Schizosaccharomyces pombe: one gene and its partner. The protein of the gene in region 1 interacts with the protein of each later gene in a biochemical or structural test. Each region holds a gene or a part of one and is shown on either strand. Other genes may lie near its edges. The genes, in order: apl2 and sip1.

Region 1 (5,461 bases):
CGGCCTTGATATCCTACTGTACCAACTGTATACTAAATAACGATGCGAAGCGTAGAGGGTTGAAATCAGTAGGAAAAAATACCTACTTTCTGGATTATAATTTCAACCATTCTTTATGAGAATACATTCATGTTGTATTTAGGATCGGTAATTATAGTAATCTACCTTCTCTTTCATCAAAACACACTCTTCAACATGCTAAAAGATCGATACAAAATAAAATCGCAAATGGGATAGTCCGCGCTATGTTATAGAGCATTACGTTGCCATTACTCACCCCACATTCAGTTACTCTATTATACGTAGTTTGTGATACTTAAGGTGATATCGTATACTATGTAAAGACATGCACCAATTCCGTTGTTTAAAATACCAATGTTAATTGCACAGTTTTCAATTCTCCCTAATGTTACGCAGTTTGGTATCTGATTTAAGGATACGGAGAACTGCGGTGAGTTTTCCTTATGGTCTATTTATATTACAATACACAGGTTGTATAAGTAGCAACTGAGTATAGGTATTGTATTAACTGGGTTATAATGTTACCTATCACTAATATAGCTCATAACTGAACTGAGGAACGAGGTTCAGTTGTAACGCTATTTATAATATTTCTAAATAGTTGTTATTAACGGGTATCTATGTATATAGACGGATAATTACCCGTGATTATCAATAAACGGATCTTAGCTAGTATTCCAACATATGACATATAGTGATACGCAACGTAGTGTATCATAGCATAGCGTTATATTAATGGCACTACATTACTTTTTACAATACGATGTTCAAATTTTGTGCATTGCGTTAATGTTTAGTATTTTCAGAGTATGTATATCCACTGCTATTGATTTCACTTCCCCCAAGCTTGATGAATTTTCCTTGATCATGGAAAATGGAGAGATTTTACTGACCAGCTGGCTCAATCGGTCAGTTCATATTGAAATTTTTGATGAGAGAAAATTCATCGGAAAGTTCTTGTGCACTGACAGAGAAGGCGCTGCCATTCTCTCAAATACCACAGAATACAACAAAGGTAAGATTGATATGTGTTCATGAATAGCGCGTCCCTCAAATTCAAGTAAACTTTCGCTGGGTTACTGTTTAAATTGAAAACAAACGTTCCAGCTAGTACCTCTTTCTGTTTTTCACCAATTTCGTCAAAACTAATATAATGAAATCAGGCTTCTCTAGAGCTTTGGGTTTAGTGGTGATTCCAGGAAAGCATATCAAAAGCTTCTCCGTACGTGCCTAAAGCACCCATAAATCTCCTTAACATTTTCATCTCACTTACGTATGTATGTATATATATATATATATATATATTGGAATGAATTCAAAAACGAATATCGCCAGGGATAATCATTACATTCGTACAGATTAAAAAACGCCTATAATTAACATTACAATCTGTACCACTCGTGATAGCACCTCAGTGATAATGATTACTGCAATGAGCAGTCCCTATTTTTGCTTCGCATCCATTTTAACAAATATTTTTTTATTTATTTATAAAAACGAAAGAAGAACATGCTTTCTATGTTAAAATTGACTTTCTGATTTGGGAAAAAACAACAATTGAAACATATCTTCATAAACTAGATGTGCATCAATCAACCTTATCCCGTTTTTCCCATTAGACAAACGAAACGAGATAAATATTAATAAAACAAATCATCATCTATCATGCCACTCATCTGTCGTTTATCTTTAAAGCCCTAACAGATCATCTGTTGCCGATCTAGCCTTTACAGGTTCAGCGTTATTTGTGCTCGGTGCCTCAAAAGCCATGAACAAATCCATTGCACTATTTGAGCCCGACTGAGGTTGTGCGCTGGTTATTGGAGAATCACTGGCAGACGTTGCGCCTGGATCAGTAAAATCAAGGTCAAGCAAATTTTCAACGTTGGCTCCTTTTTCAATAGCTTCATGAACATTGGCTTCTTCAATGTTCAATTCTTCAACAGCTCGACGCTGTATTGCGTCTGCGCCAAACTTGCCCTGGCCAATAAAGGATTCCGGTAATTTATGGTATACAGAAGCAAGAGTTGTGATTTCACACAACAGAGCATCCAAAAGTGCCTCAGGTAGATTGTTATTATAAGATACGGAAGGCTTTTCGCAACAAACAATTTTTTGAGCTTTACGAACATTTTCAGGTGTCAACAACCGCTGATATGCAAAGGCACGATCCCTTAAATCCTGATTGCTTGATTGATTAATTGCATAATTTAATACTTTCTGTACGAGTTCTTCATCGTTTCCTTTGCCGTTCATCAAACTCAATTTTACAACAGCCGTCAGTAAAGCCAATTGAATCTGTAAATCTTCATCCGCCATAGTAGAAATCATTTCGGATAATAGTTTAGAAGAAGTAGGTATAACGTGTGAAAATTCCCCTAAAATCCAAGCCATACTACTACGGGCTCTAGGGTCACCAAGCTCCTCAATGACACGAGAAAGATATGGAAGTAATAAGTCAATCTTTTGAGGGTATTTGCGCAAAACCGTTTCCATCACCACCGTGACTTCTTGAACCATATAACTAATATTTAACTCATAGATTTCAAGAAATATGGAGATGCAATCATTGATGACGCTTGGAACTTTCAATGCAACGTCTCCAAGGCATTTAATCGTTTGTTTCACAAATTCTAGTTCAACTTCGGAAACGTACGCTCGAAGCTCGGAAATGGTCTCGTTAATGTTTTCGTCACATGCAAGCATTGTAATTATCTTTAGTTTCTCCATTTTAATATAAAGAGGATCATTATATTTGCAGAAAAAAACCCGAGTTTTGACATCAAAAATAGAAGGCCTCTTTTGTAATATTAAATTAATGTTCCGTAAGGCTACATACTGGATTTCTGAGTCCGTAGAAAGTAGCGTCAAAAGAGGAGGAGCCATTTTTTTGTACAGAAAGTCTGTAAAGTCACTGGAAAAGAGAGGGATATGTACCATTATGACTTTCACAGCGGACAAAACGACACCACTATTTGCATGTTGGAATTGAGGAACCACCCTTTCACAAACATATTCAGCTTCCTTGATATCAGAAGTGCGAAATCTAGCTAAAGAATTCAAAATAGTAATCCGACCCCACTCATTACACTCACTCAAAGCAACCATTAGCCTGTCTGTCATCGTGTAAACTACATTAAAATATCCCTTTTCAGGGTCCTGATCATGAATTTCAGCAAGTGAGCGGACTGCATTAGCCACAACCACAGGATTCGGATCAGATACCAACGCCTGCAATTGTTCGATGAAACCATTTGATGCACAGTATTCTCGATCAAGGTCATACATCTTTACAACACAAACCGCTGCAGCCTTACGAACATAGGGATGCTCATCCTTCAAAGCTTTTCGCAACGGATCTGCCAAATAGCCAATGATTTTATTTACCCGAATGCAACCCATAGTTCTAATTGCCAGAGCTCGTAAAGTAGGATTATATTCCTCAGAATCCTTTACAAAAGTATTAACGGCTAAAATACAAAGATCAGGGTGTGTTTTGGCATAGTTAATTAGATATAAATAAACCAGTTTTTTCAAGGTGATATCGCGAGTAGCTAGGTTCTTTAAAACATCGGGAAACAGACTAGACACATCCTTGCCAACAGTCATTGCGGCAATAGTCCGTTTCACAGCATCAATTCTCTCGTAGGCATACTGAGAAACTAGTCCCTTTTGTAATTCACTTGTTTCGCTTTTTTTAAATGCCTTAAAACGGCTCGATTGAAACAACTTTGGAACCATTCGGTACTATTGTATAATTCCGCTCTTTATGTAGCTCTTTTAAAGGTGGTAAACGTCCTAAGGTCAAAAACACGTTTACATATATAAAGCAGTGGTTCAATAATCATGTCAAGTCAAACCCATTCGGTGAGAAACACCCACTCCCAGAAGTAACAAAGGTGACAATATCGAATACTGAAATCCAATTTCTATATATTCATGATTTCATTTTCAACCTGCAATGCTTTAAACGCTACTATTATGACCTTTAAATAAATTTTAAAACATTTAATTCAGTATACAAACAAGAGGTTGAAATGTTATTTCAATAAAAGCTATAAGTTAATTGCCGTAAAAATGCGATTCAAGTAAAGCAATACCCTTTTCCAAACATTAAATAACTAATAATTATTGTTCAAAATTGGAGAATAGTGAAGGGAAAAAAAGTAGCCCAATAGGTTGAGGCTGTATGTAAACGAAATAAATATGACGATAAATGGAAAAAATAAAATAAAGAGAATTGATGGAAAATACAAAAGGGGAGCATTTGTAAAAGGCGCTGTCAAGTCGGCTATGATTTAAAATGTCGTTTATAGCGATAGTCAAATCACGAATACATTTTAGTTGTTGTAGGAAAGACGAAAATAAAATGAAGGTAAACAGAAATTAAAATTCGTAATAAGCCAAGTTTATGCAAAAGAAAGTTATTGAAACCACATGAAAATCAGCATCCACGATTCAATCCCTAAATGCACGGTAATTCTCATAATATCCAGAAAAACGATACCCAAATGATTCGTTAAGAAACATTAAAGGATAAAATTAAAAAGAGAGAAAGGAAGTTTGAATAAATTAAAGGATACCCTGCCTTTTTGATGCAAAAGAATATATGATTTCTTGAAAATATTAAAGGTAGAATACTCTACAAAGTTGTTTTAACGTTGCGAACCAAATTGTTTATTCCACTCTTCGTAACGATGAATACCCTCTTGTGAGACACTTGGACGAATAGTACGAAGGCTAGCTTTAAAATGATTCAAGCTGATCGGAGGTATCATCTCTGCACTGGTGGTAAGTAGAGCATCACCCAAGTTTCTTAAAGGACCCATTGCTGCGTCTTTGGCTAAAGCAGTGATATCAGAGCCTGAATAACCTAGATGGCGTTAGTTAACTAACCAATCGAATTATTTATATACATACCTTCGGTAAGATTGACAAGTTCTTCCAGATCCTCCTCCGTCAAACAGTGTACTTGATTATGAAGCAAATGAGAAAGATGTTTATATCTTGTTTCTTTTTCAGGTAACGGAATATAGGTTCTTTTAACGAATCGGCGTCGAGCAGCCTCATCAATACACCACGGAAGATTTGTAGCTGCCAGCACCAAAACACGGGGAGAGTGACCAGTTTGCTTGTCCGGAGCCGCATTAGTTAACGAAGACCATTGAATTAAAAATTCTGTTTTTAATCTACGAGAGCTCTCGTGCTCATTACCGCTGTCATTACGAGCGGAAAGAATGGAATCAATTTCATCAACAAAGATAACGCTACATGTCTGGCGCTTCGCAACTTCAAAAAGGGCTCGAACCAACTTTTCAGAATCACCAAGCTAAATCAAGGTTAGTTAAGAATGGGGTTAAATATAAAACTTGCTTACATATTTCGAGGTTAATGATGAAGCCGAAATCGAAAAAAATGTGGCTTTCGCTTCGGTCGCAAC
Region 2 (5,052 bases), 660 kb from region 1:
TTGTCCTGATCCAATGCTTCGGAAGTTCTGTTGTCAAATTTCCTGAAGATGCTGAATAACAATAAAGCTTCACTGCCCTCGTTCAATTTGACGTATAATTAGAATTGTAGAAATATTTTCTTTTATATCCTTTAACATTTTAAACCTTATAAGGAAATAATCAAAACCACTTATCAATGCATTTTCATCATTATTATTTTCTATGGGTACACCCATACTACTCCTTTACGCCTTCTGATATGTACATTTAACATTCACCACAATCATCGTACCCAATTTTTAACAAAAATTAATTATGTCTGTTAATAAGTTGCTTAATTTATAATCAAAATTTGGTAGCTTGACAAAATGTTCTCTTTGCTACGAAAAGCTATAGATGTTAATCGATCCCGAATTACCTTGCATGGGATTAAAGTGCATAGTATCAATACTTTTCGTTTAATTCCTTATTCTTTATCCTTAACGAAGCAAATTCGATTTTATGCATCAGAAGGGACAGATGCAGGTGAAATGGAAAAGGGTCTTTCAGTAGTAAATGCCAATCACGAAAATCGTCCTTTCAGAGACCTTGAAGGATATCACTTCAACACATTTACATTTTTGAAAACTTTAATGGATAAAGGATATACAGAAAAAGAGGCCGAGGGTCTTCTCGAAGTCACGAATATGTTTGTTACTGATATGCTGCGACATAGTCATCTCAATTACCTGTCTGAAGCTGATTTTGAAAATGTACGTATGATTTATTAAGCTACAGAATCCTTCCGTCTTTAAATTTATCTTTAATTATAGATTGACGGTTTTTTTTGCTTTCAAATGAACTGTCATAGCTAACTTGTATAGTGCTCCTATTTGTTTCGTACAGCTTTGTCGGAGCTTCGCTCAGAGAAAATAAATATGAGAAAAGATCAAATCAGTTCGTTACGTTCAGGCTTGTTTTCAAACCAAAGGGAAGTAGAAAGTTTGGAACAATTGGTTCACGAGCAGTTAAACAAGCTTAATACCGAAAGCAAAATGGAGTTTGAAAATCGGAAAAATGATACAAAGAATGAAGTCCAGCAATTGAGTGCAAGAATTGTTGAACTACACAATTTATTAGCCGTTTCGTTAGGTAAATTGAGGGCTGAAAATGAGAGGCAGAAATGGGACCAAATAAGAAAAGCAGCAGGTAAGTATATTTATAGTTCAAACTAGGTATTTGAAATTTCATTTATTAATTTCCTTTTCTTTTTCAGGTGTGGTGATGGCTTTTACAGGGTTTTTAGTGCTGGTTATTCCATTTGGACTTGGAGTACGAAGCAGAAAAAAAGAAAAACAAGATGAGCTTGATAATTTAGGTTCATTTAATTTAGATAACAAGCGCGATGATTATACTGATACTAATCTCTCCCATATGTGAGTTATGGCCAGCAAAGCATTTCGAGCTCTTCATTAATATCTGTCCTTTCTTTTTTTTTGTGTTTTCTTCTTTGTTTATGAAAATGTTCAATTAGGTTTTATGGAAATATGCAAATATTAAGTTTTATTAGTACTCCTTCTGATCATGAGACCCCTTGTTCTTATTGTACATGGAAATACCATTATGAATAGCATAATAATTGTTTGCATTGCAGATGCTCATACTAGCGTTGAGCTGTGATTTTTGCCTTCTCAGACAAAATTTTTGTCCATTTCAAAACTAAATCTATAAATGACTTTTCGTTGTTTTATTTAATTTTAAAATTAACGATACTCGGAATGGCTATTGCATTCTAGTAGTCTCCTACAATTTAAAACATCTTTGTGTTCGTGGTTGATAAGTAAAGTGGTTAATTATAATGATAATAATAAATATATTATCTATAGACTATTTGATTATTAATTTATTGTAAATCGTGTAAATGTCGACTGCAGATTTCAGTACCTCGCAACTCAATGTATATAGATTTAGCCTAGGGAAATTGGTTTGGCCGCTCCACATATGTCGTTAGCATCATTGCCGCTCGAAAAGTTGACGAAAGTAGCTGATGTAGATAAGAGGGAGACCATATATATTGATTTACTCAATTACGAAAAACAATTGAGGAATCTGAACAAAAATACTCGCGAGGATTCATTACAAACTAATTTAAATCCCCTACTTTCGTTAATCAAAAAATATGGAAATTTTATTGCTTATCCAACTAGAAAACTTCTTTCTAACTGTATAATTGCACTCTTAAAAGGACGTATGTGAGATTTATGGAAAATGGTATATGTTAACAAGTATTAGTCGAGGGTTATCATCAGCATCGAGTTTTACTTTACTTCGTGGATAGCATTCATGAGAAAAAAGACTATATAGAGATTATGTATGTCTAGAATATTTGAAATATCAACTAACCGGTAGTAACGTTTTATCCGTTCTGACTTCTTGCTTGGAAGAATATGGAAATCAGGTATTACTCTTTTGGATATTTTCTATAAACTTATAATTAACCTTAATAGATCAATCAGCAAGAGACTTTTATAAGATTTTTCTTCAAATATTCGAAAACCAATTTGTCATATGGAGTTCGCTCAATCGCATTAGATGGACTGTCGAAATGCATTGAAACATCTATTCAGTCTACGAATGAAGATTTGATAAAAGAAATATGGAAATGTATTAAATCAAATTTAAACACTTCATCAACGAATGTTCTTTTATCTGCACTTCGTTGCGCTTACTACATTCTGGGCTCTTCACGTCTTCGTAATTCAGAATTGGAATGGTTCAAATCTTTTCTATTTAAAAAATCATCAATTGATAATTCTTTGCTCCATTCTTCTTTAGGAAGATGCTTTTCTGCACTTGCAAGTGCTCAAGCTGACAAATCGATTGAAGCCGCTGCAAACGCAGTACCCTCAACTCCAGCGGATGATGAGAACAATGAGGAAGTAGAAAATCGGTCTACTACTCGCCGTTTTGATGAAACTGAGAGTTTTCGTCACGCCCTACGGATTCTTGTCGAAAATTATCACTCCAAGCATGCAAAGTATGAAAGCTCAAAAGCGGTTCTTGTTTTTGCCGTTAAGCATCTTTTTCTAATGCAACGTCCATCCTTTGTTTCTCTCAACTACACTACTATAGTGGATATTATTCTATTACACCAATCACACTCTACTTCAAAAGAATGGTTGTCTTCGTTGGAGCAATATCATTGTACATACTTGTTTCGCGATGTGATTGGAAGGCGATTTCTCGATCAAAGCTCTGAATTGCAGGGAATTGAAATACTTTTAAAGAGAGTGTTAGAGCCTTATTTAAAAGATCAGTCGAAGATTTCGGAAATTGCTGTTAAGACTGCGATGGCTTCCACCGCTGATATATTAAGCCGATCAAAGGGTTCGGCTACTGCTTTATATAGTCAGTTACTAGATACTACACTACAGATTCTATACTTGGGTAAAGATTCATTGAAGAATGAAGTAGCCTGGTTGCTGCGCTGTTTACTATCCGTTATGCCTTCTCCTTTAATGCCCACTTTGCTTGCTCTTTTTAATAGATTAGAGTTGGAATTTAAGCACCTTCGTTCTAAACCTAAGGAAGTAAGTCCCAAATTGAATGTTGGTATTTTCAATAATCTTACTTTGTCGTTGATGTCGATTTATGTTGCCGCCGAAGAAAATCCTCTATATGTTGCTTCTTCTATATTTTCAAAGTTATTTAACTTCTCTTTGGATTTGATTAAGTCATCATCTAAATTGGATTTATTAGCGGCACAAGCACAAATCAAGACTGGTTGGCGACTATTAAGCGCTTACGTTTCTTTTGGTCCTTCTTTTACTAGAATGCAATTGTCCCAATTGCTAATTTTATGGAAGAATGCCCTTTCCAGAGTACCTTCAAAAATACATTCACAAAATTTCATGGAGACAAATGCAGACATGTTTAATCGGTTTGAAGCGTTACAGTGCTTGCTTTCGTTTTTGGAGTATAACAAGATTTTATTCACACCTGATGTTAGGAAGCGAGTCATTATTTTCCTAAATAACTGCCTTAAATTCTACAAAGCTTTTTCGTTAACCAAAAGGCTTGAAATTACCATGCCAATTCCCGCTTCAGATTATTCTCACTTGGAACTTCGCTCTCTCTTGCTTGCTCGGATTTTCCAATGTTTCTTCGAGTTGTCTCAGTTAAGTGGAATGAGTTTAGATGATCAAGAATTACTATCCACGACTGTGTCTACTATAGCCGAACTTTCTTCTTTACAAGGATATGATACTGCGGACGAAATAGTTCAAGCGAAAGCCTTTACTTCTCCAAGAGTTATACCTGGAATTGGTTCACGATTTTACGCTCAGCCAGAGGAAGAATTTCAAACAACCATGGATGATATACTTCCTTGTTATATTTGCGAGTCATCTTCTGATTCCCTGTCAGTGATTTCGAGATCAAACTCTGCAAAACTTCCTTACGTACCCCCGTCTTTAACTTCTTTAATTGATAACGCGATCCAGTTATTTGCGTCTATGTTTTGTCATCAACCTCCGAAGGTTATGGAGAGCACTCTCGAAATTATGGTAGCGTCTGTGACAAACCTCAAGAGTGGGAGAGATATTTTACGTTACAAGGCAGTAACAGCAAATACTTTATTTTCCATTTATGGATTTCTCTCTGCTTTCGATAACAAAAAAGTTACCTTGCCTGACAAGGTTGTATCCCTTATGATAGAATTGCTCGAAAACTTGACTGCTGTTAACGATCCGAAGTTAATTCCTTACATTTCGAAATCTTATGCGTTTTTGGCATATTTATATCAAAGCAAACCGACGTCCGTTTTGGATACAATAATTAAACGTGCTGCAGAGTCGGGAGATCCAAATTGCAGGGCTGTCTTGATTCTAGCCGTTGGCCATATATTAAAAAAGGTTGGTTCCGGAGTTCCCCAAACTACCCTCATCACCGCTTATCAGCTGCTCAAAGTTTTTAATACTGATTCGAATGACCTTGTTAGAGAGTGTTCTATTCGTGCTTCTTCCGTTTCTCTTGGGTCTATCGCAAAGACCATTCCGAGTGTTTTAACTGCCCAGACACGCATTTTATTGAGC

What was found.
Region 2: the proteins of apl2 (region 1) and sip1 form a complex in vitro, tested with the Schizosaccharomyces pombe proteins (2 studies listed by BioGRID).

The regions. Positions count from the first base shown.
Region 1 is NC_003423.3:675,873-681,333, forward strand, and holds apl2 (AP-1 adaptor complex beta subunit Apl2), read right to left. Parts: upstream 3,870-5,461; 5' UTR 3,763-3,869; coding exon 1,711-3,762; 3' UTR 1,256-1,710; coding exon of another isoform or gene 1,185-1,255; 3' UTR 1,037-1,184; coding exon of another isoform or gene 889-1,036; 3' UTR 761-888; downstream 1-760. Other genes in the region: putative NatC N-acetyltransferase non-catalytic subunit Naa38, read left to right, coding at 889-1,036, 1,185-1,255; knk1 (AAA family ATPase), read right to left, coding at 4,677-4,894, 4,942-5,350, 5,399-5,461.
Region 2 is NC_003423.3:1,333,764-1,338,815, forward strand, and holds the start of sip1 (Pof6-interacting protein Sip1 AP-1 accessory protein), read left to right. Parts: upstream 1-1,947; 5' UTR 1,948-1,960; coding exon 1,961-2,207; intron 2,208-2,251; coding exon 2,252-2,330; intron 2,331-2,368; coding exon 2,369-2,417; intron 2,418-2,466; coding exon 2,467-5,052. Other genes in the region: gpi13 (pig-O family ethanolamine phosphate transferase), read left to right, coding at 1-59; SPOM_SPBC27B12.07 (uncharacterized protein), read left to right, coding at 349-732, 844-1,168, 1,236-1,399.